Struthio camelus: one gene and its partner. The protein of the gene in region 1 interacts with the protein of each later gene in a pairwise test. Links are inferred from orthologs where the notes say so. Each region holds a gene or a part of one and is shown on either strand. Other genes may lie near its edges.

Region 1 (15,268 bases):
ATCCTCCCAGTGGATGTCCCATGGTATGAAATCTATGTTTTTGAAACTAGCCTTTGCTACTTCATTCATGTTGATTTTTTTTTCTTGGTGCGCAGCGCTGATTTGCAGCTACTGTCTCGTGATAAACTACCACGTCTGGATGGGCAGACAGGTGGTGAAACCTGCCTCCCAAACCATCCTCAGTTCTGGGCTCTTTACGGGTGTGAGGTTCTGTGAGGTTGGGTTTGGTCCCTCTGGTTAAAATAACTTTTGTTTTTGTGTTTACTTCCATAATTACCTCACGTCTGCTTCCGGTGGCCTCATCTAATTCTCAGGGTGACAAGGGGTGCAAAAAAATGTTTTTTTTCCACAGAAATCTGCTTTAGCCATTAGGCCGCCAGCTTGGAATGACTTAATGAGAGCCGGGCTAACGACTGTTTGTCAAACGTGTGTGTGTGTGTGTGTGTGTGTCATATTTGCAATACAATCAGCCTCTTGAAAGCGAAGGCTTATGTGATCAAGTCTTCCTTTGAACTTCTGGCTTCTAGTTTGCAACACAAAGCTTTGTCATGCCGTTGCAATGAATCATTTTAATAACTGTTAAACCCTTTGAACATAAAGTTTTATAGCAACACTTGCAGGAATTAAATACTTTTGCTAAGTCTTGGTGCTTACGGCCTAAACCAGATGCTGTCAGGTGCTCGCGGCCTCCTCAGTTAGCATGGGGAAGAGGGTTTGGCTTGGAGCAGGGGCCGATTGCGTCAAATACTGAACAAATGCTTTGAGTAATAGTAGAAGAAGAGGGTTTCTGTCCTAGAGTTTACAGCTGAAAAGCGCAGGCCTGAAAAGGAGGGTGGAAATGGGCTAGACCACACCAGTAGTGCAAGCGAGGGATTCCTTTCCAGTCTCGTGATAGCTGTGTGTGGGGGGTTGTTTTTTTGTTTGTTTGTTTTTTGGAGCTATGTAGGTCTGCCATTGGCAGGAGAGGATTAGCCAAACTTGAAGACAAGTAGAAGAGAAGGTGTGCTGGAAATGGATGAGCAGGGGAGATGGTAGCACACCCTGCACGAAGCTACGAAGCAACTGCGAGTATTGGTGCGAGCAGGGAGGGTGGAGAGGGCACGGGGCAGGCCACCCGGTCCCGCAGGGGCTGCTAGGCTGGTGCAGGGCTGGTTTGGTCAGAGCAGTGTTTCTGCCCAGACCGCCTTGCTGCTCTCCCAGCTGCGGACTTTGCTCAATCTGCTGATCTGGGTTTGCCTGGAAATCGTGCCCACCTCAGGAGAAGGGGGAATGAAGCAACATGTTTCTCCTGCTAATAAGTTCTTTAGGAGCAAATTCCGTGTCTCGCTGCAGCTAATGGCAACACTCCTGCCAGCTTGCTTCAGAGCAGTGCTCAGGCCTTCGACTGCTGAAACACTTTCTGCTGTTAAAATCGATCACCTGTGGCCCCAACACTGTATTTTCCTGCTTGCTGCTACTATGACGGGAGCATGATTGCTGAGGGGTTGTCTGTGCAAAAGGTTATTATTATTTTTTTTCCGTTATGAGTGGAAGACTGCCACAGACCAACGGTCTAAAGATTTCATAATCAGCAGCCCTAATTCTGAGGCGGAAGATGACCATTTTTATTATTACAGCCAATAATCCATGCGCACGTGAGACCGTCGGCTGTCCGTGAAACAATAACTCAGGTTTTTCCTTGTGTGCAATTACATTTCTCTCTCTCTTTGATTTTCTTTCGTTTTTTAGCCGGCTACCGCACAGGGATAAACCAGAAGTTGGAATCTTGACTTCAGCCCTGCGGGCTCTGTCAGCTTTTTATACCTGGCAGGCTCAAAGGGCTATGTGCGAAATGGATTTCTCATAGTTAATTATAAACATAGAGTGGATTAGATAAATTAGGTTTCCTTATAGTCAATAAATAAGTGTTTACAGTCAGTAAACTGCTGTGTTAGTTTCTGACATAACCCATTTTTCAGTTGGTTAACTGGTCGGAGACTGAGCAGTGTGCACACGCATCAGGATGTCCCCGTAATGGGCAAAATAATCTTTATTGGATTGTTTCAGGACACAATATGAGAAAGAATACAGCAGGCTGATGATTGTGTTTGTGCATAATGGATGGATGAGAGAGGTTACGTGACATCCAAGTGTGCTGCGAGTGTGAACGGGGCTGTCAGAAGCTTGTAATGTCTGTCTTAAAACATAACCGCAAAGGAGGTGTCTGCGCTGAGCTCTGTGCAATGGTTAAATGACTGTGGCGTTCATTTCCACTAGTGCTTTTGGTGTGAGTGGAGGGAAGAAGCAGAATCTGGCTTTCGGCAGGTTTTAAAAAAAAGAAAAAACTTCCCCAGAGCAAAACCTCTCCATCCCAAGATCTTTCTCGCAGTGTTTGTTTATACGGCGTTACGTTGGTTCTTAGTATTTTGTATGCTTTGTGTTAGGTAATTCCCAGCCGCTTACACATTTAACAGAACGACCTGTCGTGGCTATAAGCTCCCATTCAAAATTTTTTGTTAATTTGTACTGAAGACTGCTACACGGAAGGGATAATCTCTTCTGTTTACACAGCAGACAGCTCTGGCAGGGACAGAGCACGAGCTGCTGGCTTTCTGCAGCATTCGCCTGGGTATTTTGTACTAGTGTTACCAGTAAAGCCCTGTCGAAGGGGGAGGCTGGAAGATGAGTCACGGGACAGTCTCGCAGTGGTGAAGTCAGCAAGGTGTGACAGCGTTCAGGACTGGAAGTGTATGACGGTTGCATTTAATGTGATGTGCTGTGTTTTTGTATAGTAGCGTCAATTGCTGTCGTCATTGTAAAGCACGCGGGCCGGTTCCTAGAGACCCGTGGCATGACGGAGAGTAACCCCAAATAAGTGGGGCGGGGGGGTTGGACTAGATGACCTCTAGAGGTCCCTTCCAACCTCAGCTATTCCATGACGCTGTTTCTTAAATTCTTTCAGCAGCATGAATGATCTATTGCTTGGTCTAGTAAGCCAGAGAGGTGGGGGTCTTTCTTTTCTCTTTTCTCAGGAAGGTGAGGTTGCATTTCCTGCATATTTGTAGTGGTGGAGACCCTGCGTGTATACAGCGCTATTCAGTTGGTTTGTACACAGGTAGGACATATTTTAAAAATGCAGTCACCAAAAAAGGGGTTGGAAGGGACAGAAAAAGGTTGTGTAATCCATGCTCCTGTTACAAGACAATTTTTTCTTGTTTGCGAAATTATGTGGGAGCTGATGCTCATGCTTAAATTTTAATTATTTGGAAATACTTGGCTGGCCATTGCAATGTGCCATCACAGAGTGGCAAAGGTTGGAAGGGACCCCCTCCAGTCTGACCTCCTGTGCAAAGCATGTCCCAGTGGAGCAGGTGGCATCCAGGCGAGTTTTGAATCTCTCTGAGGACGGAGACTCTAGAGCCTCCCTGGGCAACCTGGGAGGTTTGACCACCCTCACGGAAAATGGTTTTTACTTGCTCCTAGTTGGCACTTCCCTGTCGATTGTCTCTCGTCCTTCCACTGAACGCCCCCCATCTTCTCCACACCTTACCATCAGGTAGCTATATTACGGTGACAGTTTATTATTTGCAGCTTGAAATTTGGAGCCAGTAAAGAACCAACAAATACTGCAGTCCCACTGTTTTTCCATAAAGCTGCAACAGGGCAGTGCAACCCCTTTAGAGAGAGAGAAGCGTATAGTGTTTTTGAATCTGAATTGTTTGCGAAACGTTTGTTTGGAGGCTGTTTCTTCTTGCTTCTTATGGTGCTTGAACGGTTGCTGGGGGGCAGCGGGAAAGCATTGTCACAGTGCACAGAAGGGATTTAAAAAAAAAAATCCTTTTGCTTATTCTGTAATGTTTTCCAGAGAAAGGCAGTATTGCACGTTAACATTTACGAAGCAAGAAACTTACTCACTAGACTACCCGGAGGCTTTATTTCGCTCTGCTAAAACTTGGGAAGAGCAAGTTAAATTGCTCTGTTTCTGCTTCTGAGCCTTCATTAAGGAAAGAGCCTGAAAAAATGCAGGGCTGGGGGGAAAAGGGGGATATGCGCGCAGTCTGCGTATCCGGTAGGTGTGTATAGCGGTCCTTTTGATAACGGCCTTTTGTCGTTTTACAGCTTTGTGAACGTGACTCTCTAGGCAATACCTGCTTACCAAAGTATATAGTTTAGTTAATGTGCTTACGCAGAGTGATCCCCTGGTCTCCTCTGCTAGCCAGAGAGGAGGAGAAGTTACTCTGTAACCATGAATCTGCAATGTGCAGATCAAGAAAAACCAACTCATGTTTTCGTGGGGAAATTCGTGCAGTCTCTAGCCTTTGCCTCAGAAATGGAGCGCGCAGTAGGATCAAATTAGAATTTTTATGAGTTATGCTAATTTTCAAACGCAAAGATTTCTAAATTGATATAGAGGGAGTTTAATGCCTCTTGTTAGTTAGGAAAGTTTATTCTGGCCTCTATGATGGATGAAGATGAATGAAGCCCTGCACTAGAAACTGGTAGTTCCCCAGAGATCAGTAGCTGTGACCAGATTACACTGAACATGTAACGCAGTTCGCAGTTAGTACTAGCTCTATATGTGTGGTGCCTTCAAGGGGCTAATCTTCCAAAACGGAGAAAAAAGTGTGATGGAAATTGATTGAGAGGAAATATTTTCTTAATAGAAATTAGAGTTCCTTGAAATGAATTTATTACACGATCGGAAAGCTGCATTCTGCAGTCAAGAAAAGGGATAGTTGGCGGGGGAAACTAATCTTGGTTTAATAACAACAATTTGAAATAAACAATAAATGAAAATGGTGATGGAACTATACATAGCAATCAGTATAAATAAATTACTTCAGAAATTGATAACGAGAAACTAGAAATATGAGGGAAAAATCCCTGGAAGGTCTTTTCAACATACATTTGCAATAACAAGCCATAGTGATGGCACAGGGCCTTCTAAATTGCGATGCATAAACTAGTAAAATAAAAAAGATATTTGGTATTTACCAAAAACAGCAAAAAAAAAGTGATGTGCCTAGGGATCAGCTAAAAACGTTCCTCCACTTGATGGCAAACTGTCCTCTTTTTTCTATAGAGGAGTCTTGTTTACCTGGAAGAAAATGAGTAAGGAATGGTTAATGGCTTTGGGGAGGTCATTGGCTAGGCCCAAAATGTATTTTGGGTGTGTGCCACGTCTACTAAACGTATCTCGCAGAAGTGCTAGGGAAAAGAGGCCTGGCTCTCCTCCTCCTTGTGGGCCGAAGGAAATTGTCTGGGATTCCCGTTTCCAGCCAGGGTCCTTTGGTAATCCTGAGCGCGCGACGTTCGCACACAAGACCGTAGCACTGGTTGAGCATTGCACTGAAAGTCGTCTTGAGTAATGTGGTATCAGCTCCTTTCAAGTGAAGTTTATGACAAAGTTAAGGTGTATGTACTTAGTTATTCGTCTCGGGGAGGAGCGGTTACATCCCAAGTGGCATTTATGGGCTGGGATGCAAACTTATGGGTGGATATGCTGGCACAAGTTACTGCGATGCGCAGACAGTGTGGAACCGTTCCTGAAGTAGTTTCAGAAAGTAATTTGTAGCTTTTTTAATAGTAGTATACTCAAATTTTCCACGGGAAAAACTTGAAAATGCCCCTTGCTCCAAAGACCATTTTCAGGCATGTTGCAACCCTTGCTATTTCCTGAATACACTCAGTTTTTTAAACTGTTAATTACACTGAAAAAAGCCATATTTGGATTCCTGCATTTCCCCTCTCCTCTTTTTCTTTTCCTCCTACATTTGGCCCCATCAAAAGAAATGACAAAAGGTCTTAATTATTGTTCTGAATGTATTTTAAAACTCAGCCTTGCATGAATGGCAGGGTAAATAAAATTTTCATGTGGTACATGCTAGTTGTTATGGGGGCAATATTTTAAATGGGAACATGTTTACATTACTTTGATACATCACATCAAAGTGAAATAGTAGATGATATAGATGGTATGAGGATGTTCTTGCTTTTCTTTTGCTTTTGGCCTCGGGGTGGTGGGGGGGGGGGGGGGGAGTGCAAGCAAACTGTTGTGAGACGCAGTAGTGGTGCTGTCAAGGCCAGTCCTGCAGAAAGGGACAAAGTCTGGGAATGGGACACAGAGCGCTGCCTGCCTGCTGCAGTCCTGAACGTAGGCAGAGTCAGAGATAAAAAACCCCATATTTTTATGGTGTTAGAGAAGCGTTCCTCAGCGCCTCCTAGCCAGGGCCCTGTTCTTAAAAGGGGGCAAAATCTCCCAATATGCCAGGTGTATTTCAGAATGTTTTACGTGGATTTTATTCAGTATCTCTTTATAAGTGAAAATCTTTGCGGTTCAGTTTGGGCTGAAGTTTGTCCTCGGCAGTTTGACGCTCCATTGCTAGCCAAACGGGTAAGATTTCTGAAACACCTGACCCAAGAGCCTGTCCTGTGCAACACGTAGAGTTTTATTTTATCGTTACAGTGGGAGCCCTTTACCTCTCTGCAGATGGAAGTGTATATTGCCGGGAGGCCAGTAGAAAAAGCCATTGTCAAATAGTATAATCTGTCAGGAGGAAAACCTTTTCTTTCGTTTTTGAAAAAAATCACTTCCATTGACTATGATTCCCCCCCTCCCCGCTTCTGTGTGTCGCTGTATGCGGATATTTTATGCTCTAAGCCAGAAGCTTTTCTGCGGACGGCTGCAGCCGGCCGGTCCCCGGGCCGGGCCGGGCTCCCCGCTCCGCGCCGCCGGCGCTCGGGCTCGTCCTGGCGCTGCCGGAAGCGCCGGGCCAGGCGGCGCCGCCCGCCCCCTCCTGCCTCCCTCCCTCCCTCCCTGGGCCGGGCGGAGCGGCGGCGCCGTCAGGAAAAAAGTGTTTTGTTTTGGTTTTTTTTTTTGGTCTTGCTTTACTTTGTATTTATTTCCTCCAGTTCCGGCGGCATGGCCGGGGAGCCGTGGGCCGAGCTGCTGTCCTTCCCGGCCTCCCAGGCCATGTGCCCCGCCGGCTGCGGCTGCGGCTACGGCGGCGGCCTGCGCCGCCTGCGGGAGCGCGAGTTCCCCCGGCTCCGAGGTACCGCGGCCGGGCCGGGCCGGGGAGGGGGCGCGGGGCGCACGCGGACCTCGCTGCGCGGCACCTGCCGCCGGGTCTCCGCGCAGAGAGTTTCGAGGGAGGAGTTGTTGCTCCCTTTTGGCGTTTCTTTGAATCACCGTGGAAGGCTGGAAGAGCGGCTTTGCTCTCACGCAGGTGTTGCGAATAAGAAATGAAATCAGGTGTTGCCTCGAGAAACAAGCAAGCAAACAAAAAGGACTGTGGGAACCGCATTTCGAACAGGCTTTTGATGAGTTTTTCTTTCGGTGCTATTAAGATTCTACAACTTGATTTTGAAGCCTGATATTAGTCATGCTAGCTGGGCCAGTGAAAGTCTGATAGCAAGGAGCTGTTTGTGATAAATTGAGACCGTGATTCTGGCAAAACTGAAACATTGTTTAGACACTTAAACAGATGGCTTATCAAACCCCTTGAAAAGGGGACGTGTTTCTCAGGAGGCTGGCCGGTTTGGAAATGCAGCATGTCTCGTGAATTCTGCCCGGATTGATCCATCCGGGGCTCCCGAGTGGGGGTCACTGCAATGGCAGAGCATCAGCAGTTGACCTCCGTTTGAGAAACCTTTGGGTAATGTTGGCTACTGAGTTACACTTCAGTCAGGTAACTTATTACAGTGAGCCATGGGTGGCAGATAATTTGGAATATTTCCAGAAAAAAACAAACATGGGATATAGAATAGAATTTGTCATAGCATAAGCTGATTGAAATCATGTGCTAGCCAGGGCAAGGTCACCTCGGTTGCATATTTCTTCTACCCATTGTTTTCTTTTAGAGAACAACTTTAGACTTTTACCACTTTATCCAACTCATAAATAGTCTTACTTATGTTTTAAAAGCTCCAAGTCCCCTCTGTGTGGAAGATCAGCATCCTTAATTGATCGCTATACGCCCTCTCTGGGATTCCTGCCCTAAGAACAGGAGTGGCTAGTTCAAGAGCTTGTATCTGTAGGTACGTCTGTAGTGCCAATGCCAGGGACAGATCCCTGAGCCCAGGGGGTAAGGCCAGGTTCCCCCTGCCTCATATGTTTATCTCTGGGTTTACTAGTTGGACCAGTTTAGAAGAGAGTCCAGGGCCTGGCTGACAGCAGGGCAGCGTGGATCACCAGCCCAGTGCTTGGACTTATTCTTTGGCCTTCTTTTCTGTAGCGGCGTAGCTATGTTCCTGCTGGCTGGAGGTCTCCACATGGCGACGTGGATGTTCTGTAAGGGATTTTGAAGCTCTAGGTCTCTATTGCCTTTCTGAAAAATGGTGAAGGGAAGGTGATTGATGTCCAGGATAACAGCAGCCACGGTGGGTAAAGGAGCCTTCTCCAAGTGGCATACAAGAAACTAGTAGGGCTTCCAAGTGTTTATCCACCTCAGCACTTTCAGTGACCCCCCTCCCAGGACATCCGTGTTGGGGGGTGAAGTAGGGGATTTGCACCTTTGGTCCACTCAGGTCAGCTGTATCATTAAGTCCTGCTTGTACAAACACTGATTTTTTTCCAAAGGAAGCAGTAGCTAATTCATGGGGTTTATCTCTGCTGGGTGTCTCCCTACTAAACAAGATGTCTCAATTTAATCCCTTATAGTAAAGTGTTCTTTAAATAGTCACACCAGGCAAAAGAGACAATGAGCTCTATTTTTACGTGGTTAACAACAGTAGTGTCATGCCCAATCAGTTATACTTGGAACATGCCTTTCTGTCACTAAAGATGCATACAAATCGAGATTTTGCTGCTGACTTTGCGTGTGAACAGAACGTGTGGAGTCCCTCTGCAGATACTCACGAAATAAGCCTAACGTTCTGTTTTGGAAGCGTTATTTTCCTAAGAGCAGCGTGCGATGATGATATTTTTGGCGTGTCGGTGTATTCAGTTCTTGTCGGTTGCTGGTATTTGGTTGTATCCACCAGGGACCTCTGTGCCAGTAAACTGGGCCCTCTGAGGAAGGAGGAGAGCATTTCTGCATCACAAACCTCTGACCGTATGGTGCTATACCACTGCTCTAGTATGAGCAGTTTTGCATGTGTCTATTGAGAAGGAGGTATAATTTGTGTGTGTGTGTGTGTGTAGGGAGAGAATATCGGCTGCTGGCCATAGTATAAATCCAGGATTTTAACAACGGTGTCTTGTCAGTGTCTGTGGGAGTTTCACCCTTGGCTCCAGCAGAAGGAAATTAGGCTCATCGCGAGTGCGTGGGGATTCCCTTTCAGAGGCTGTGAAGGGATAAGAACTACTGTACTTCCTTGAATCAGCAGGAGTCTGTCGGTGTTGATATAGACGCGTTAAACTCTCCCTTTTAAGCCAGAGTTTATCTTCGTTTTTGTAATTGAAGGGCTGTTAGCTGAGGGCTTCAGCAGTCCCTTCCACAAATATATGTGGAGTCGGTGAAACTGATCCCTGTTTTACAGGCAGCAGTGCATGCACAATATGTGACCTTGACTTTAATCTTGTGGACAACATACCCTTATCTCCAGCGTAGGATTGTAAATTACTCTTCAGAAATGGGTAAAGAAATCAGCAGGAGTTTATAGGTTCTGTTGTTAAGTAATGGGAATGAATATGCCTCTGTGATTTTTATGATAGCAAAGAAAATATCAGCTACGGTTTGTATCACGTTTTTATAAAGGAAAGAGCTGACGTGTGGTTTGTGCTGCAGCATTTGATCCCAAAATACCTTTCCCGTTTTGGATGTGTTCCTGTATTTTTGTCTTAGGTAACTGGGTTCATTTCAGTGGGAGTTTTCCAAGAGTGATGAGCAAAGGATAACCCCCCCAAATAGAAAACAGTACATATTATTGATCACATATTCTTGAAGGGCTGCTGATTATCTGAAGATAGTCTTTATTTAAGACGAAATGCACTGTCACATGTTTAATGCAAAACCGGTAAAAGTACATTCAGTAGTAATCATGTGACAGATCACATGTCACCATGAGTAGAAGTATGAGTTTGTAATATGTGTGATTGTATAAAACTGCTACTAATAATGCAACTTGCCTGTTTAAGAACAAAAAAACCAAAGAACCCCCTAAGCTTTGAGTAATAGAATTGGCCCTCATTTCCTTGATATTCAACTAATGTCCCATGAACTGGTCACCTATACATGAGCTTATTCTACTGTTCAGTTAAGAAATAGTTGGGTATTTGATCTGACTGTAAACAAAATTTTTTTTTTATGTTCCTGGTAATTATTTGCACTGAGACTTTGCCTCTAAGAATGAGAATGGCATAAGCAGTTCTCGGTGCATTGCAGTTGCTTCTCAGTGGATCTGCTAGCAGAGGTCATTAGAGAAGCAGTGTCAGCTCTCTCCCCTGAGACCAGAAAAGCATATCTGTTTTGTCACAAGTTTTGGATAATCCAATGTTTTTGCTGTATTTGAGAAGTAAGAAATGCACTCTAGTGTGTCAGTTCAGAGTAATTTTGTAGACAGCCAATGCTGTCGTTTTATGAAGCTTGTGAAGATGAGTGTACTGTGAGTCTGAAAAGTTGCTCTCACCTATTGATTGCAAACGTAGGTGTGACCTCAGTTTCTTTACTGGTATGGCAGTCTGGTTACCTTGTCAAACCAGAAATTCTACTGGGCTACTGTTTGGGGTGTTTTCTGGATTGTTTGTTTGTTTGTTTTTTTAATTCTTAGGAAAAATTTTTGTAGCCTTCTGATCACTACTTTTTTTTTTTCCTTTTTAATAACTACAGAGTTTTTTTTTTTTTTAAACAAAGACCTTTTGGTTATTTGATTTGGGAGCTGTCTTCTGCTACCTGTGTTTATGTTAGTTTCTGCTGATTTGCTGATTATTCATATGTTTTCCTGTGGATGAATCTGTCCTTTCTAATCTCTTAATTTCTTGGCAAAGACTAAGTGACTGTTGGCTAATCAGTAATAACTTCTGTTTTTAATTTCTTGGAGCATGAATTAGCAGTAGTCAAGTTTCAACATGTGGTTTAAAAACTGGTTTGATAATGATAATGTTTATTTTGACTCACTGTTTTCTAAGCTCTATGCTGAACCAGAAGCAAAGCATGTGGCAATTTATGATCCCATGCAATACTTGATTGTGAGTTCCTTGGAGCCCAGCCACCCACCCCTGGCCACACAGTGACAGTCCTGGGAAAGACGCTGCCTCCTTGTAAGGTAAAATGGTTTCACCTGTTTGCTGAAATCAGCAAACAAAATCTAGTGCTTACCTCTCTTGTCCAAAGGCAGCTGAAACAGTGTGTAGAGGGAAAGATGAGGCCGCGTTTTTGCCCCACCAGGAGTCTCTGGATAACTGAAAGAGCTGCTAATTGTGCTGGAGAGTAAGTCTCACGAGTGACTTCACCTCTAGCTCGTCTTGAACAGAGGAAAAAATATTCTAAACCTCGCATTCTGACGTTTAAATGAAAAAGCTTAAAAATCCAGACTTCGAAATGAAAACTTTCACTAGGCTCTTTTGTCAATAAATATCAGTTACATGCACTTATGGTCCTCTGATTCACACTTAGGAGTCTTCAATTCCCTTTGAAAAAAGAAAAACTGAAAAACAAGTATTCCATGAAATATGACAACAGTTGAACTTTGAGTTTGCTTCTATTTGTTTGCCTTACAACTTGGAGGCTTTTGTCAGTGGACTGGCTTTGCCAAGTGCTATACATATGACGCACAAAAAAGATGTGCCCCGTGCACAGGACAGGGCAGTAGAGAGGACAGAGGTTGCTTCCCTCGGGCGCTTATGTTACCTAACCAACTTTTCTCATTTCTTGGTAGAGTCTGGGAGGACTCTCCACGCTGTTGGTCGTGGGAGCTGCGAGAGACAGGCTGTGGCAGGACTAGGTCAACTTCTTCCACAGTGCTCTGCTCCTGAGCAAGGAAGAGAAATAGCAGATTTCATTTGAGCTGCATTAGTTGGAGCGCAAATATGCAGGATCCCTGTCTTTGGCTAGATTGCAAGTGGACAAGTTCAGCCCAAGCAGTGATATAATGTAGTGAAAATGTACGATTTTAGCAGTGTGGACTTGGAATTGCTGCACTCTGTGCAGGTGGTAAACCAGGAGTGAGCTATAGCAATTATCCGAAATGCATGCTAGTATAGCCTTTATATCCCCTTGTTCTGTCTTGTAGTGTATGTAAGCCATATGCGTTATAGGGGAGAAAAAATAACACTCCTTTATAAAACACACTTTTAGGGGAAGAAATTCTTTCACTTCTCTGTAAAGCTAGTTTTCATAGTTTAGGATTCAGAAGGAGAGGAAGATTATAGCAGATATACTTTTAGGCGTATGGAGTATTTTTATCAATACGTAAGAAAACATCATCACTTTGAAAATGCTTCAGAATGAACTAGCTAGAGAAGGAGAGTAGAAGCAACTGTGATACCTGCTACTGAAAAGCTGAGAGCTCCTTCCCACCTCTACGCAAGGTTTGTTGTTCTCTTCTCAGTGGCTGGGAGATCTCTGGCTCTTCACCTGCTATTGTCCTTATTGTCCTGGACTGGGTATCTCTGTAGCTCCTGTGTCACAGGGTAGCTACATTTCATGAAACTTTTTTTTTTTTTTGGGGGGGGGGCGGGGAAGGCGGGAAGAGGAAAGAGAAGAAAGCAAGAAAAACTGTTTATGGGAGGCAGCTGCTGTTTGGCAGTTTGAAACACCAGAAGACTTCCAAGGAAGATGGATTTAGTGGGTGGAGAGTGTCCTAAATAGAAGCTGTGATTATGGGTAGTGTAATTGCACAGCTACGTGATAATTGTGTTGTAAACACCAATACATGTGTTCTGGTAAAGTCTTCATGCTTCCTGTTGGTTTTGATACAGCAGTAGTTATCTACATATGCCATTGTCGGAAGAATCGGTATTAAAGAGGAACCATATGTGGAATATAAAGTGGATTTAGTATGAAATGTCTTAACTTTTACTATTTCAGTTTCAGATGTTTTTCTCTCTTTCTCCAGCTATATAGACATACTAGATATAGGCTTAATAGATATTATTGGGGAATTTCTTACCTTACGTATCAGGATTCAAAAGATTATCAGTGGTCTGCTTTGTGTAGAATTGATTTTTAACTTGACTACCTGATGCTGGGTGGTCTTTTGCTCTTTGTGATGGGCATAGCTCTTAGTAAATAGTAGTTAATAATATTAACTCATTGTAATATTTTGGCACTGAAGGAATTTTTAGTTACTTGAGAGGAAAAAAGACCCTCAGAGATACAGGTGTCTTCTGTTTCTTGAACTGGATTACACAGAATAGTATGTACAATTCAGTTTTAACTTCAGATTTGGTGTTGTAATACCACAGAATCACAGAATACCAATATAATACCAATATAAAGGTGTTCACTGCACCATTACACTGGCTTTGTAATTGCATGTGCCACATAGTACTAGGCTTTTAAAATTCCAAACCCTGTCTAGAATATAGTCATCTGGAGGAAAAAAGCGGATAAACTACCAAACTCTATAAATCTGATACAGTTGACATGAACTCAGAGTTTTCAAGGGTATTTTAGAAATACATAGTTGATCAGTTGGGACTAGATTCTTTCCAAAAAGAAGTAAACCTATACAGACATGAGACATTTACATCTCTATATAGAGATTAAAAAAAAATTAGATTTGGAAAGATATTTTATGGACTACTGTGGATGTTACAGGGTATCAGACATTCATTAAAAAATAATTACATTTTTAATTAAAAGATGCCTTATCTCTAAAAGTAACTTTTGTAAAGATGTGTATTAGTGTGTATGAAAGTATTGAAACAGGGAGATGTTTTATTTAGAAAAGCAAAAGATGCTTTCTTATCTCTTAGCTGAAAAATTGGAAATGCAGAAAATCTGTCCTTCAGAATTCCACGTGATGGTTGGATTCTTCATTCTACTGTGCTTGCTGCTTCTTATGGTCTCCTGTCCTCTTCCATTGTTATGATGCTGCCGTAAGAAATACGTGTGTGGATTTCTTCAGAGTGTATTTCTGTGTATTTCCATTCTGTGTTCATGAGGTTTTGTTTTGTTTTTTAAAGATGAGATTAAAGATTATTCATCAAAGAAAGTATGTAAGTTTTCAGACAAATGTAATCTGTTTCTGATCCCCCTGAACTTACACTGGGATTTACCCTGTAAGATCAGAACCTGGAAATCCTGAGATTTCCATTATGTATTGTGGGAGCAACTTCCCTACCTGAGGTGCTCTCCAGAATTCATTCAGGGGTACTCCCAGTCTTAAGGACAAAAAGACAAAGGGAGAGGTGAGAGGTCAGCTATTGTTGCTAAACTCGATTCATTACATACTTTGTATCACTGCAGAGAAACTTGGATGAGAAAAGACTTTGTCATTAGGTTCAGGAAGACCCTACTGCGAAGTGCTGCATAGTAAAAAGCACTGATATGAGAAGCTGATAAATGGGTAAACAACACAATATATTTGCAGAGCAGGAGGCTAGTAGGAAGCTTGACTTGAAGAAGATATTTAGGAAGTGGCATGCAGAGCTCTCAAATGTCTTGGGCTTTTTATAATAGATTGTCTTGGCAAAAGCCAATTGAACATTCAAGGCAGGTATTTTCTTTTATCTGATACTAAAATATGGGGTGGGGTTTTCTTGTTTTATCTTTATACCCTATGGAAGCTAGAGACTGAAAGGGACCTGAAAAGAACTGTTCTTATGAACATGTCAACTTGAGGATTTTTATTTTTTTTCCTCTTTCTAAATTAACAGTGCTGATAGGATCACTCTGTCTGCATACTGACCTGTACACAAACGATTTGGAGCCAGTCACAGACTAACTAGTTCCTATCACATTTGTTAGGAGAAGGTATGTTTTGTGGAGGTATTAAGGACAAGGTTGTGTTGAGAACTGTGGGGAAAGGGTGTCAAGAGTTATGGAGAAATGGGGGTATAGTAGGTCAGGGAGGCATAAAGACAGGCCACAAAGCAGTAGGAGGTCAGGCTTAATTAATTTCGTTGCTAATGAAGCAAGTCTTTATGCTCTTGGAAGTAGTCTTGGCAGCCCAAAAGGTTCATAATGGTCCTCTTTGCCCCTTCCCTTTCAGTCGTGCCACGGAGGAGCAATGTCCTGTGCATGTTCGTGTTTTGGGGCTGTGACCCTGAGCAGCTGTTGTAAGAGCCATGCATGGAAGAGTTCAACTGCTTTTTTTTCTGGTCTTTGAAATACAGATATAAAATTGGAAGGCAGGTCTTTGGCAGAGAAATCCTTCTGTCTGCTATTCTTTTTTTCTCCTTCTT
Region 2 (16,064 bases), on another chromosome or scaffold:
GACACTGCTGCTTCAACCACGGCAGAGCCAGGAGCAGGGGGAGCAGCTGCTGCTGAAGAGATGAGGGCAGGGATGGACACAGCCTGACAGGCAGACAGTCTCCTTGCCCTTACCCCTGCCCCCAGCACTGTATCTCTTCCCAGCCCAGCAGCACCGGCCCAGTGCTCCCACCAGAGAGCGACCACTTTCCACAGTCATGCTCCTTGTCTCTGCTCCGGCTCTGCTCCCCTCTCCCCTTCACCTCCCCGGTAGCAGCCACTCTACTCCACGTGGCAAGGGCACAGAGATGAGAGCAGCAGCTGTTACTTCCTTTAACCTGTTCTATGCATATTTGATTTTATCCTGTATGAAACCTATAGGCTCAGAGGATTAAGAAACAGCTCAAATGGGAAACATATGGGGGGGTGGGGGGAAGGCACACTTTCATAGCAGCTAACTTGGCCACATAATCTAAGGCCAATTTTGCAAGCTAAATGCAAAGACAGAGCTCAATGGCTCTACATCTGCATGCATGTTTTCAGAGAACAGAATCAATGGTCGTATTAGGTCAGAACAGATGATCATCTAAGCCCACGGTCCCAGCCCTCTATCTAAGTCTTGGCCCCCGACAGTTGCCAGAAATGGATTCTTAGGGATACAAACAGAAAAAAGCAAATATACAGAATGCTTTCCCTTGGGATACCTTCCTAATATTCAGGGATTTCATGAACTGCAAGTTACATGTAGGCCACCATAGACGTTTTTTCTTTCATCTAGAATCCACCCAATCCCATTTCTAGCCTCCTCCCCTCCCCTTTTAAAATATTTCTGGTATCCAAAGCACCCTGTAGCAGTGAGTTTCACACCTTAATTATGTATTGAGTAAGAAAAGATTGTGACATTTCAGTTACTTCAAAAGCATCTGGATAGACCTAATGGCTGGGGTGCTCCTCTGGGAGGCAGAAGAGCCAGGCTTTATGTCTTCTTCCCACATATGCTTCTTACTGCGTGGCTGGGTCCTCCTGCCTCAAGCGAGACAACATCACGGCCTCCTTTGCCTCTTCACAAGCAAAAAGGAGGTTGGTAGCACCATGGCTTTTTTGCTCGTTTCAGTGCAGTCAGCATGTTTTACATATCCAATGTTTTACAGTGCTGTGGGATCTAACCCCTTCACAGACTTGCACGCACGCTAAGAGACATATGCATAAAATAGGCACTAAATGCTCAGTTCTGCCAAGAGAGTGATACCTCAGGATACAGACTGAATAACCTTCCCGGCAAACTGCAGGCATCTGGGACTCTCAAATTCCTACACATTTGCTCAGTTCAGGGTTTCTGTAGATGACACAAACGGACCAAGCCATCTACTCACTGCATGCTCTGTGGGTGTAGTTTTTAGATTAGGCCCTATGTAAATATTTGGTGAGAAAAATTCACATTTTTTTTAATTAGTAATTTTGGGATTGTCTGTGACTTCTGAGATTCAGAAATGCATTAACAGGCAGCACTTGCAAGTCTTTCCTGAACCAACCAGAGCCAAAACCTGTTAAGGAAAAAAAAGAAGAGAGAGAGAGACTCTTGAAACCAGGCACAAAGAGAAAATGCAAAGAAAAGATGCAACAAAACTCACAATGAGATCACAAAAACGAGTACTGGCAAAACTGAAAGGAACTGAAATGACAAACATCGTTAAAATGCAGATTATAGTAAGAAAAAAAAAAGTCCAGGAAAATATTTAAGAAATACGGATAAAGAACTCCAGGTTGTAAGTTATTTGAGGACAGGGCTCTTCCCACTGAGTGTGAATGTATATTGCCTAACATAATAGGACCTAGTCCTTGATTTAGCCACATATAAACATAATAACGCTTAACAGTGTCTTGCAGATAACAAACAACAGTGCTGAGTGGATGCTGCTTATTGCAGAGAGCAGTACTTGTGGAAAGAGGGAGCAGGAAGGCAAGATAGAGGCACCACAAGATCCAACATCTATCAAATGCAAAAGCTGTTACTGTCACCCACACAAACCTAATGCTGCAAGGCCCAACAGGTGACGAACAGCTTCAAGCATGTCTGAGTTGTTATTTAGGTATACCTCGGAGAGCGTGCATCTAGAGGGCTATTGCCATCACTGCATAAGCAATGGTTGGGTTTTCTGTCTACACTGCCAGAAGCATTTCAGAGGCAATTATCCATCTTTCTACTGAGCAATCCTTTCAATGGTCAGAACAGAAAGACCTCCCCAGATACCCCCCAACAATCTGGGTTCAAAGGAGGGAAACAAAACCGCAGTGCTCTTCTCTTTAGTACTTTCTTTTCCTTCCATACACTGTAGATGCGCTCAGAAAGGCTTGTAATAATTAAATGACAACAAACGACGCAGATGATTCTTCCCTCTACTATTTTTTTCACTTTCCATGTTCCTTCCACCTAACAGAAGTATTTTATCTACTTTACACAACTTGCTCCAAGGCAATAATTATTCCAAGGTGGTACTAATAGCTTTTGTCCACCATCAGTTAAACAGGCAGCTATGATGCCTGTGGCAGCACACCAAGAACATGGGAATATGTAACACAGTTTACAGGGGAAAGAAGAGTATAAGCACATTTCAGCTGCTACACATTAAGCCTGGAGATAAAGCACATTATGTCAGTCATCAAAAACAACCATTCAGCTATTCTAATAGCACAAGAAGGCCTAGGGTTGATGCACTGATATGCTGCAGTAAAAATGAAAATTCAGAACTACTGATTTATATAAGAGTGATGGCAAAACCTACCTCAACCCATTTCTTCTTCATAGAAAATGCTACATGCATCTTTGAAGCATTGCTATGAAATCTGCACACGCGGGCCCATTGATTTTCTTCATACTATATGTTATTACCAACATATTTGCTAATATGCATAGGTAAGACACAGCAGTTCTTCTTTCAACTTCATTTGCATTTTAAATACAGCATCAGGTAGCAATAGTAAAGAAAAAACCTGCAAAGCATTTAAGTTAGTCTAGGATCTCTCACATGAGAAACAAACAGATGATGAGCAAAAGATAAGTCCTACTGTTACAAAAAACAGCCCTTTGTATCTATAGTGCACTACTCTGCTTAAAGAGAAGTTGCAGAAACAGGTCCAAAGAAAATAATTCAAAAATCTCAAAATTCAGCAGAATGCTCCTTGTATACTAACAAATACATTTCTTTCACAGTACAATGCACATACATAAGCCAGATCAAGGTATGACTTCTCTTTCAGAGAGTCTCACAACAAGGCATTTTAGTCACTGATTCCTTAAAGACAAAAATTTTTATTTAAAATAGCTGAAGAGCTCTCATCACCCTACGCTTATTTTTAATTTGTAGTTGTTCCGATTTTTATATTATTGTTAGAAATGTGCTATGGTAGCAAATGGAGACTAAGAAATTGAAGGGAAATATCAAGAAATAGCAAATCTAAAATATTTTATGCTGTTAACATCGTAATTTTCCCTCAGGCACACACAGAAACACAGCCTACTGTGACCTCACATACTGAAATGAAATAAAACCAAAACATATGAAGGATAAAGAAGAAATATCATATAAGCGGAAGCTAGAAGAAAATTCATTCCTTCTCTTGCCCATCAACACCAAATAAGCTAGGAAGAAGAGCAGTCAAATTACTGAAATTGATGTCATATCAATCGGAAAACTGACCAAGCCCATACAATGGGCAGTAATTGCTCTCTACCCAATTCACAGGTCCAAGCTGTCTGTTTTCCATCTGCTCCTACGCAATTTAAGCAATTCTGAACTTCGCTCTCTGTTTCTGAATGTGTCACAGATTTATTAGAGCGTCAGGTTCCAATTCTTAAGATTCTCTACTAAGGTAAGCTATTATGAGGAGCTAAATTTGTATGTCTATAATTGCCAGGCCAGGAAAATTCAAGGAGGGCAATCACATATGACCTTAATGAACCCACCATGAAAAATTCATAAGATAATATAATATACAACCCCACCCCCAAAAAAGAGGTCATTCTGTTCTCTCCTTGCACTTGTATAAAGATATGCTTAGTACACAATACAAAGTACTATGAGGAGCTTATACTTTTTTTTTTTTTTTTTTAACTTGTGGTTGGCTTTGGCTAGTAAAATTAGCTTCACTATGGCTCTTACCTCCTGATAGACGAAGACTGGAATCCTTCAAAGGCATATATGGGGTGGCTTAATTTTTGAACACTTCTCAAGAATGAAAGGGACAGAATCTTACTATAAGCTAATTCTTGCTTATAGTTGCTTCACTTGTAAACAGGTCATCAAATATTCTAGTATTATCTCAGTATTTTTTGTTGCATTAAAAAGGTAATTATAGTAAATTTAAACATAGTTAATCATTTGTAGTTTTTGTTCCTTTAACAAAATGTATACACTATTTAAAGTTGCAGTTGTTCATGCCCTCTCAGGAAAGACTAAAGTATGATGCTCTTACCCTTGAATTACACCAATGAAGATGAGATACTGTAAATAAAATCCAGGCCACAGCCCTGTGTGACAGAAGATGACCCAAGCAGCTTTGCCTTCCTCACTCCCAGATTTTATATTTCATAAATATTCTCTAATAGTTAATGACAACTTATTTTGCAAATTAACATACATCCTAAGGCATGACTAATCCCTACTTACATCATGAGCGGTATCTCAACTAACAGAATCTCAAGTTATTCTCTTTGTTCTGTCCTGGTATAGAGTACAATAATTATCATATAATATATAATAGATATACAATAGATGATCAGCCTTTTCTCTGCTGTGGTAGGGTGTGTATTCTCTGCTCTGCCAACAACTCGTACTGCGTTATTAGAGAATTCACTTCACTTCTACATTGCTCGATATTCTCATCTATAACACGGGTGGAATAATCACCACTGCCAGGAACTGTGAAATTCGTAAGGAAGGACTTGCTATATGAAAATGAAAGGTATTACCAAAAATCCGTTTTATATTGCACTGTAAGCCACTTTTGCTACATGTAAAACTACACAGATTTTATAAATAGCTTGCATGACTGTACTATTATCACTTCAGATCCTAATGGCTTTGTATTTGGTAGAGCATTCTGGCACTGGCTCTATTATTGTGATGTATAAAAATATTGTTTTGACAGTTAACAATGTCTGTTGATGGCAAAAATACAAAACCTAATACATACAATTATATACTTCTACAACAGTTATCTAGATACATAAATAAATAGTATTAAAATGTAATTAGTATGTTCCCTACAACAGATAAAACATTTTTGCATTATTTAGAAACATTAACTTTTACACCATATGATAAAAGGCCAAAGAAAACCAGTAAGTTTCTGTCCTCTATGTAATAGCAGAGCTTATATCAACTAGAAGAAAGGAAATTTTCAGTTACCCCTTATTTCTCTCAAGAGCACAAGCCTCAATGACTTTCTTGAGCAACAGCTAATCTCTAAGACCCAGGTGTGCTTCTGAGCTTTTGTTTCCAGGTATGTAACCTGAACGTGGTCTGGCTTAATGCAGGACTGAAACAGAGTGGCTGCAACAGCCCCTTTGTTGTCCCTGAAGGCATGCAGGTTGGAAAAAAGCCATAGCACGCACCAGCCAGGCCCATAAACCCGTTGATCAGGAGATCAGGATGACAGAGGCATCCTCTGCATCGTCTACATTCATCTAGAAGAGGAATACTTGTTCCGTTGCCTATACATTAAAGATAATAATAAACTGCAATAAGCAGAATTTTTGACTCATGAAGAAATACTGACGCAGCTGAAATCTATTATGCAGATTTACTCTACTATAGCATACTAAAATCACAAAGCAAGACTAACAGAACAAGACTTGTTCTATTGCCTATGCATTAATAACAGCAATAAACTGGAATAAGCAGAGTTGTTGACTGATGAAGAAATACTGACATAGCTGAAACACAGTAGGTGAATTTACTCTACTAGCATACTAAAATCACAAAGCACAAGGCTAGGTAGATAAGAAGGAGAAATAAATAACCTACATAGCAAAAATACCATTATTTCTAAAAAGTTATTAACAATTTATAGTATTTAGGGACCTTAAATAACTAGAGATCAATGTTCACATTCAAAATGAGGTAGATATCCATAGCAGACTAACTAGGTTAGCGAACAGGTCGAGATGCTATGGAAAAAAAATGTGAAGAGAAAAGGTGCCATCCAAGAGTACCTCATTCTAAGTTACAAAAGCTGAAGGTCTAAATATGGCCAACAGAAAAAAAACATTTTTTCAAATCCCTATGAATAATCCCTTGAACTTTTTCTAATATTTTATATGTGTTAACAGTTGAACGATCATGTACACTCCTATAACTGAGACATTTCTCTGTTATAACCTTGACGTTAGAAAGGTCTTTAAAGCAGGAAAATCAAAGAACAGAGGCTAGACCCACAAGCAATCTGATCTCCTATATGAAGGCTGTAGTTTAATTTCAAATATGCCTGAGTCCTACAAACTCTGACAGTACAACATAAGATGGAAGCCATATGCATCACAGCCTGCAAGAAATAACGTGGCTCATGAATAGTGTGCAGACCCGTATTTATTTGTAGGAGAGATTAGGAGGCATGAAGAAGAAAGGGTTCACTGTAAAAACGTATTGGCTTTAAAAGTCATTACCATTTGAATCTGCTATTTAAAAATAAAATAAAATAAAATCATTCTCACTAGTATAAAGCCATACCAGTACATGTCAGTCTCACGTGCTTCCAATGAAAAAAAAAAAAAAAAGATAAGTAAATAAAAGATACATTCTTGAATGTATCATTAGAGTCTTCCAAGATCTTTCCAAGAAAGATGCTATGGAGAAATTAATGAAACATTTTGTCTCCATCATGAAATACTACAATATTCTCACAAAGTTTTAAAAAAAAAAAATCCAAACCACTGTGATTTTTTAAAAAGCTTTAGGAAATTGGGAAACACAAAGCACATCATCAATGTTGTTCCAAAATGTTAAAAGGGTAAATATTAACTTGATGAGACAATGAAATAGCAGGTGTAGATTTTAATAAATTTAATAGAGACACAGAAATAAAGACAAAAACTATGATTTCATGGAACACATTTTTTTAAATAAGATTACAAGATTGTGAATAAAAGTAACCGTGCTGTCTCTGACAGATACCTGTAGATTTATGACATAACACTGTGGCACTGATAAAAGTAGTATTGTCTGATAGCAACACTGGACATGCTAAATCTACTACAAATAGGTTAAGTTAAAAGTCTCAAAACATAACTACAATACAGACACATCACAGAAGATTGTTTCTAGTGCATTGCTACTAGAGTTCATCGATACTCTTACAGAAATGGCATAAGGAAGTGGATCCCTAGTAAAGTTTGCCACTATTCACTGTTTCATAAACTTCTGGGCCAACTGCAATGAACAGAAGCTTGAATAACATCAGCACAATTGCGTAACGTATTTTAATAGAAAAGCAAGACTATGCATCTCAGAAATACAGGTGATGGCTACAGCGAGGGGCTCACTCTTCAAAGTAAAGTGTTATCGTCCTTGTCCATGGCATTAGCACTATTCTGAAATACTTTGCCAAATTTCACTCTCCACATATATATCAGAAATCAGGGTCTGTTGAGCATAACTCTTTTTTTCTTGCTTAAGAATGACAAACATTAATTGAAAAACTGTTCTGAAGCGGACGCTATTCTAGCTCCGCTTGCATCATCAGTTGCAAAATGACGGGTGAGTGAGGTTAAATTCCAATTCTCTGTCTCATGGGATTTTAAATAGGCAGATTCAGTAGGGCCTGGATATTAATTCACATGTACGGACAAAGAAAGAGACCTTTGTACACGCTCAATCTTCTTCAAAGGATTACTATCACGAGGCAAAGGTTTTCAGCTCAGTCTAGGAACAACTGGGTTAAAATTTAAACCTTTAAGGAGTGAACATAATCACATCATTCTCTCAGAGCAATGCGTTGAGAGCATGCTGTACACCACTATAAGTCGATACACTGCAAACCAAAGCAGACATAAGCATCTTTAGCCTCACTTTTTTTTTCCTTCTTTTTAGCACTACAGCTTAAAAAAGTAGGTAATCTCAAGCAGGCACCGTGGGGTGCACACGCCGACGCAGCCCAGGGGACCTCTCCTCGCCCGGATGCAGCGAGGCGCAGGGCACCTCCGCCGGGGGTATCACACCGGCTTTTGAGGCGCTGCCTCTCTGTGGCGGCACCCGCCTTGCGCTCCCAGCACACATCCCGGCACCCAGACCCCTGCCCGGCTCACGCCCCGTCCTAGGGCGCACCCCCGGGCCCGGCGCCGCCCGCCCTGCCCGCAGGGCACCGCTCAGGCCGCCGCGCCGCACCCCGCGGCCCGCGCGCGGCGGTTGGCGGTGGCGGCGGTTGGCGGTGGCGGCGGTTGGCGGGCGGGGCGGCGGGGGGAGGGGCGGCGCGCGGCCGGGCCCGCTCGGGCCCCGCGTTTCCCCGCCGTGAGGCGCGGGCAGGGCGGCGGCGGCGGCGGCGGCCCGGGCCCCGCAGGGCGGCCGGGGAGAAGCCGGGGGCAAGGCGGCGCGCTCCTCCCTCGCTGCTCGCCTGCCCACCCGACACGTCCGTCCCAAGTCAGCCCCTTCCTCCCGCTCCCCAGAGCCTTTTCCTCTCCCCCCCCAGTCTCCTCCTCCTCCTCCTCCCACCCCCCATTTTAAGGTAACTCCCAGGAAGCGTGCAAACCTGTAAATTTTTTTTTTTACCTTCTTTGGCTTTTTTCCTCCTTGCCAGCGTGCCGCCAAGTTTGCCCAGGAAGGAGTCATCTTTCTTTCTAGACGGGGGCGATTTAGGGGTGGGGGATTTAGGAGACGACGGGGACTTCTGAGGGGAGGTTGCCATGGCGGTCCCAGCACCGCCGCCGCTCAGGGATGAAGGGAGACAGGTTTGGAGCCCAGGCGGAGCGAGAGGCTGGCCCCTGCTCTAAACGGAAGCGGAATTATTTCAGGCATTTGAGGCAGCTCCTGCTCCGCTCTCCCGCTCTCCCTCTCCTTCCCTCCCTCCCTCCCGCCCGCCCGCCCGCCCGCCCGCCGGGGAGGGCCGCGCTGCCCTCGCCCGGCCCGCGCCCGTTCCCTCCGTGCCCCCCCACAGCCCAACGCCCCCCCCAGTCCCCCGACAGCCCTGTGGTCCCCCTTCCCCCCACCTCAGCCCAACGGTCTCCCAGGCCAGCGGCTCCCGCCCCCCCCCCCCCAGGCCCCGCAGCCCGCCCTCACCCCAGCCTGCTCCGCTCGGGGCTTTCAGCCCGGGCGGCGGTTCCTCGTTGCGGCTGACGGGGGGTCCCGGCTGCCTCAAGGCGCTGGAAGAAGGGTTTTTCTGTCAGGGGGAAGCGACACCCTCCTCACCCGCCCTCCTGCCGCACGCTGAAACATCGCCTCGTTCAGGCGAGGTGGTCACCCCCGCCCCCGCCGCGGCCTTGGCTGGCCCCCACCAGCTCGGCGGCCCGCGGTTTGTCCTCCGACTAATCGAGCAGTGAAGTGCCACTGAAGAGCTTTGGGCAGGTCCCCGCGCGGGTTGCCACGTACACTCCAGCCTTGAGCCAATTTTGGGAAGCGGGCTGTCTTTCTGCCCCTGTACCTCTGTCGTTGGAGGTGGGCATCGCGTTCCCCCTTTCTGCCAAAAAAGACCTTTATTAAAAAGAATGTGAAAGAAAGGTTAGTGAGCATGATAAATTATTGCCTGTGCCAATCCTCTGTTGATTTGCAGGTGAGCTGCTTAAGAGAAAAGTATGTTTAAAACAGGTAATTGGCTGTGACTGGTTCAGGAGACATCTAGGGCTGGAACAGCATTAATGTCATCTGGATGTACTACTTCACTCCCCTCTTAATCACTCGATTAACAATTTAGGCAAAAAGCCACACACACTTTATGCAAATATCTAGCTATCCATTAGACATAATAAGAGAAATGAAATTACCATGAGGATATTTCTAAATCAGCTAATAATTGTTGTTTTTACAAGCCAGTAACAATGGTTATCTGATGAGGGATAGACACCAATGAGTATTTGTTGTATGCAGTTAGTATATGCCCTAGAGAATAATTTCATTCACCCCTACCACCATTACTTAAAACCAGGAATCAACACAAGCCGTTAAGAGACTCTCACGTTTCCTTAGGTTTGCTCTCTCTGGCTTCTAGCACTGATTGCGCGTTTGGATTTTGTCTGCAGAATCTCCCCACCTTCACACATTACTCTGTTTTGTTAAGAATTGCTGTTCATGCGCTGTATAGATTAGGATACAAACAATTCTGAACAATTTTTTTAAAAACAATGAAATATAATTTTAAAAGAAAGCAAAATAATCATGTAGAGTCCTTTCTATATACACACATGTGAATCTGCAGCATTTATAAACAGCAATGACACAACTTTGGACCCAAATACTACACACAGACGTCCATGTAGGATTTTGTGGGCACAGCAGAGTAGGATTTTGTGGGCACACAAATCTGCTTGCCTTTGTGCCACTAAGTTTGGTATTAAAGGCAAAAAGAACAAATCAGATATTTCAGACAGTAATGTGCGCTGGGTTATACAGCATGGGAAAATCAGAACTCAGCATGCATTTGCCAAGTCACACACCAAATAACTTACAAGTCCTAGTATCTCTACTCAGTTTTGTTCCATACTTTTTTATACCTAGCATATGTAAATTAGATATCAAATGTAATATTCCTTATTTAATAGCCTCATGAGCTATAGGTAAGGATTTAACATCACAAGCAGAAAATATATTTTAAAGGAAACTCAATGTGCATTTAAAATAACTTAATCTGATTTGGGAACAGAAATACTGTAATGCCTTGAGTAATAATGCTAAGGGGTCACTGCAACAGACTTAAGTTTGTTGTGTTCTTTAGGGGCTTCTTTCTGAATTTATTTGCAGTTCTCTTAGGTATAACATTATTGCAGGGTTTTTCCAACTTATGATGATGCTCTCTGAAGATAGTTACAACACTCCTTCTCCCCGCCTTGTATCTTAAATTTCCAACTACATATGCTACTTTTTTCTTTTGATCTGGAAATATATATGCACATATGAGCTTAAATTAATATTGCATTCAGCACAAAACGCCATATAAGTACACACAAGGTCTAAATTATGGCAGATGTACAAATGTTGCTTTTGAATGCCTAGTTCCTATTTCTATAATATTTTAACCACAAATAAAAGCTGTAGTAATATAGATTCGGTGGAGATTTTTGTTTGTCTAGGTTTTTGCTCTGTTTTACATTTAATAAGTGAATACTTTCATGATCATGCTCCATGATCCCATGCACCAGACACAATAGTCAGTAGGTTGCCATTCAGGCTCACCTCACTGCATCCAGCATATAGAAATCTGGAGCAGGCGATCAAGAGCTCTCACCGTGCTTCCTGTCAGCGCCTTGTTCCTACAGATGATCCAACCAGTAGTTCAAATTAATTGTATCCTGATCACATACATACTTTTGCCAGGCAATAAAAGGAGGCTAAATCCACAGACTTCAAATGCATTCTTACTCACCTTCATATCTGTCCATGCACACCTGTTTTCTATTTCTTTTACTACAGAACTCAGAGTGATCACAGATAGAATATTACTTCCTGCATGAGGTGGAAGAGACAGAATACATAATATACCAGCCATGGTCTAGGCTAATAAAAATGAGCACTGCAGCAGCTGAAAGTATACTCATAATCTGAGATAGCTGACTCAGGGGAGAGAGGTCAGCCCTGATGTCATATCTGGTTTTCAAAGTATTTCTTCTGTTATTACACAAGTTTAAGCCAAGCTAGTTAAGGCCATGCAATAAATTATCGATTCTTCTTGATCTGGAGTTCGACATTTTTCTCTTAAGTACACTTCTGCTCTAGCCTTTTGACTCTGTGGTCTTTTAAACAATAACAGTGGAATTTTCAAAAATACTCTATTGCTCTACTGCTATTGCAGTATTTGCCTACAGTAAGACTCTTCACTGACTTCATAAAGAACAGAATTAGACCAAAGTCTACTCTTTATATTTTTCTAAATGTTTGCAGTCAACCATCTTCTCATGTGCCAATTCTATGTAGTGAACTGCTGAACATTCACATCCCTACTCCCCAGGCTGTGTGTTAACAGCACAGTAAAGGATGGTTCTTAGAGAAGACGACATTGACATTTCCTCACAGGCTACTTTGTGGCTGTTTAGTGTCTATTTTTTGATTGGGATTCAAAGAGAGGCTGTTAAAATTTAGGACACTGGTAAATAAGAGCTTTGGTAAGCTTCTCCTTTCTTCCACATATCTCAGCCAGAAGCTCAACAATAACAAGCAATTGAGGCAAGTATGAAGGCTCCTTCCTTTGGCTCCTCCCAAAAACTCTCTTTTACAGTGCTGGCAACTCACATTCTCCCAGTGCAATGCCATAAACTTTCCTCTGCTTTCTTGTGCCTGTCAGATACAGGAGCACCAGCCACCCCTGTCCTCCCAGGGAGCAGTTGTCTGTGTTTCACAGGGTGGCTGAGCAATATTACCTCTCACCTGCATCCCACTGAAAGACAACACCACGGCGTCTCTGGGATGGCTTTTCCTGAGAGCACCCAAAAATCTCTGGAGGGAACAGCTCTCACAGGACCTGGCTGTATCCATGAACCAGACATGCTAGGTGCCTGTTCCCCTCCAGGGAACTAACGCCTTGCAGCCTGTCCTGGTGGCACCCCTGGAAGTTGAGAGGCAAGAACTTCAGGCTTGTACTTCAAGAAAGTGGTTTTGTATTTCACCATGAAGCCCCCTTCCCTTCCCCCCCCCCCCACTCCTCTTCACATGGCTGCGTGCGGTGGCCACCTCTGGTACTGTGCTGGGAGAGGCGGTGCTGGGAGTGGACCACAGCACAACATATTGCCTGGCTGGTAGTCTGCGCAGCCACATCTCCTGTCCCATACCAACTCAAGGCAGGTTATGTAGCCCATAGGACCTTGTTGCATATGATTTCAGCCCCTAAAAGGCCAGCCCAGGGTTGACTAATCATCCCAGTGGGGGCTACGTTATAACGGCAGAAAGCACTGCTATCAGGTAGCAGGACTCCAAATTTTCACAGCCACCACCATCTCAAACTCACACTTGAAGATAAGTTTGTTTCCAGCTCACAAAGTGAGTCTTAGATTGAACCTATGCTTATGCTTAAATTTAAAATTGAGCTATGCTTTCTAATTAACCTGTATCTTCTTTGGGTTAAGAATCTTCTATTAAAAAAAATAAATAGGATAATGAATAATAAATATATTATTCATTAATATAGAGTTTCATAGAAGTATTGGAATATCTCCAACTAGATCCTTCAAACGTACAATATATTTCTATATTGCACATTAAGGACCCCAAAAGGTCAAACATAGACTTAGTAAAGAACACTGTAGGTGCAAGACAAAAGACAGCATAGTGTATACACAGATCACACATAGAGATCAATTATTTGGAAAGTTTCAATGGAAGGAAATTGGTTTTGAAATTTTTCAATGAGATAAGAACATTATCCTGGCACTTAATGCTTCTGGTAATATGTAATTCTGCCAATCAGTTGTTTATACGTACTAGGCCAGGTTTACATGAATTTACCTCTGGACTTGTTGAGACAGTTTCAGAAAAATTAGGCTCATGATTTTTTATTAATAAGCTTTTGTATTCACAAGAAATGCCCTTCTCTTGTCTGTAGCTTTGTACATCTGTACTATGTGACTATACCAGCAAACACCTAGCTGGCACATGAAATCTCTTGCCATAGTTCATTAGAATCAGCAGAAGAAACCATGCGGAAAAAAGACAAGTTGTTCATAAATACTAGACAAACAGATTTAGGTGAAATCCAGTGAATACATTACTCATCACAAGGTATTTGTCAGGTTCCAGGTTTTGGAGATACCATGACTGCCATGAAGACTGTAGGGATAGTATTCACATACTAACATGGTAAACCCATCATGCCATACTATGCAAATAACTGTGTGGTCCCTCCAAAATTCAGCAGACAGCTTTAGATCTTAACAGTAGCAAGGTCTTAAAAGACAGACAGAATCTCCAATCTGCTAAGCCACATCCTGTTACATACTTAAGCAGGAAAAAAACCAGAGTATATCTTTTTGGAAGGAAACTGCTAAACTAAAATCAAATTCAGTTGAAATCAGATATGCTCCCTGCATTAGGTTTGAAAATAGTGGTTGCAAGACATAAGTCTGTTACGTTTGTTGCCTGTGCCCAGAGAAATCTAGCCAAATACCCTTAAAATCAATGAGGCATTCTCTTACCTTGGGGACAAATCAACTGATCTCAAGGCATGTGATGGCTTACAAAGTCTTTTTCTTCAACATCTTGCCCAACTGCCTTTCTCTAGAGCCATAATCTTTTGGAGGGGGTCAGAGAGAGTGAATAATAGGGGAGCCTCAGTAAATTCCAATAGGCAGATTTCTACCCCTATTGTGCTCCTGGGCCGGCCAAGCTCCCCGGCTGCCAACCAGCTGGCTGAGCAGTCAGCAGGGCTGCAAAGTTTTATACGCGTACGCGTTTAAAAGTTTGACTTATTACTTCCAATTGCCATGCAGGTGGGTGATTCCTCTGCAGTCTTGAGGATTTATGAGTAGATTATCAGCAGAACCACTACCATGCCCACCTGGTAAGAAGGACAAGGACATGACAGTAGAAGACAAAGCTCAGCTCAGATGTGACAGAAATTACCTGGACCTTTGAAGAGCAGCTGCCATCCACCTGTCATCTGAAGAGGAGGGAAGCATCGATCAATTTGGAATTGCTGCTAAGGGGACAATGGCGCAGGGGCTAACGTAAGCCCAAATCTTGCTTATCTCTTCTGAGGCAGTAACGTTGTCTTCCTCTGCGAGTCTGTCCCACTGGTAGAAAACAACAGATTAAGAGATAGCCTAATAGAAGTAAAGTTGGTGGAATATGAAAATCAGCAATTAAGGTTTTGCTCACCAATTCTTGATCTGCGCAGTGGCCTTTTTCCTTCAGCTCAAGGAGTTGTCAGTTTGTATGTAATGTCTAAGGAAATTAGGTGATGAATTACCATGTCAGAAATTAAAGGAAGTTGTTGATCTCATGGGGTTTGCATTTTCTTGTTAAAGGTCAAGTTGAACACTGTCTAGCAGCAGAGTGCCATTATTTCTAAGATATGAAGTGCCAGGTAAGATAGTGCAATTTACTTACCAGTATATGATTAGGAAAATGATATAATTTCTTACCTATAGGTCTTTCCTAGACATGCATTATTCCTCTGTAGATACTGGAGGTAAGAAATTATTACAGAAATGACTCAGGGACTTTAGAGAGTGAGATACAATTTTATTTCTTCAAATATAAAACTGCTCACATCTAGTCAGGTTAGATACAGCCAATATGTTGTAGCACATCATATTATACTTGTGATAACAGTGCCAAGGATTTAAAAATAGTGACAAAGATTTAAAAATCAACAAATTCCTTATAAGTAAGTGAGTCAATTTACAGAAAAGATTGAACAGCAAGAACACTCATAACCAAACATATTTGTTTAAATGCATTTCTAACGTAAGCCAGCCATATTAAATTGAGCTGTGAACAGTGTACATAGCTTCTCTTTCTTTTTCCCCTCCTCGCCTACTCTCATAATGTACAAAGATCTACTTTAAATTACCTAGAGCTTATTCTTCTCCTAAGTCACCTGCACTCTTCATTTTTGGACTGAATCTTGTGAGCACATTAGTGTCAGGCGGGGCAACAGTAGCTACGCAGGACTTTCCACCCAAGAGCCTACAGACACACACAGGAGACCTGCAGTTTTGGGTACGGCGTGTATTACTACCACATATCATACAAGAAAGTAACTTTTAAAACAGAGACTCTTCTGGGGGTCCATAAGATGGTGATGGCCTTCAACTGCTGTTGCCTTTAATACTCTCAGGGACCGAAATCCTTGGAGCTAAAATGAAAGAGTCTGTTCACACCTGTCTGTCGCCTGGTTTTACAGCAGAGCAGGCATCTGCAGGAAACTGAAATGTCAGGCTTATGCACCCTCAGT

The links.
Region 2: the proteins of MOCOS (region 1) and PARVA interact in binary tests that used the Homo sapiens proteins (3 or more experiments, as listed by UniProt). The two-hybrid records come from large-scale screens. The link is inferred for Struthio camelus from reciprocal best matches to the Homo sapiens genes MOCOS and PARVA.

What each region holds. Positions count from the first base shown.
Region 1 is NC_090943.1:70,330,178-70,345,445, reverse strand, and holds the start of MOCOS (molybdenum cofactor sulfurase), read left to right. Parts: upstream 1-6,811; 5' UTR 6,812-6,901; coding exon 6,902-7,031; intron 7,032-15,268. UniProt on the Homo sapiens protein: Sulfurates the molybdenum cofactor. Sulfation of molybdenum is essential for xanthine dehydrogenase (XDH) and aldehyde oxidase (ADO) enzymes in which molybdenum cofactor is liganded by 1 oxygen and 1 sulfur atom in active form.
Region 2 is NC_090946.1:25,104,232-25,120,295, reverse strand, and holds the start of PARVA (alpha-parvin), read right to left. Parts: upstream 9,713-16,064; 5' UTR 9,698-9,712; coding exon 9,557-9,697; intron 9,501-9,556; exon of another isoform or gene 9,331-9,500; coding exon 9,248-9,330; intron 9,219-9,247; exon of another isoform or gene 9,178-9,218; intron 8,958-9,177; exon of another isoform or gene 8,953-8,957; coding exon 8,741-8,952; intron 1-8,740. UniProt on the Homo sapiens protein: Plays a role in sarcomere organization and in smooth muscle cell contraction. Required for normal development of the embryonic cardiovascular system, and for normal septation of the heart outflow tract.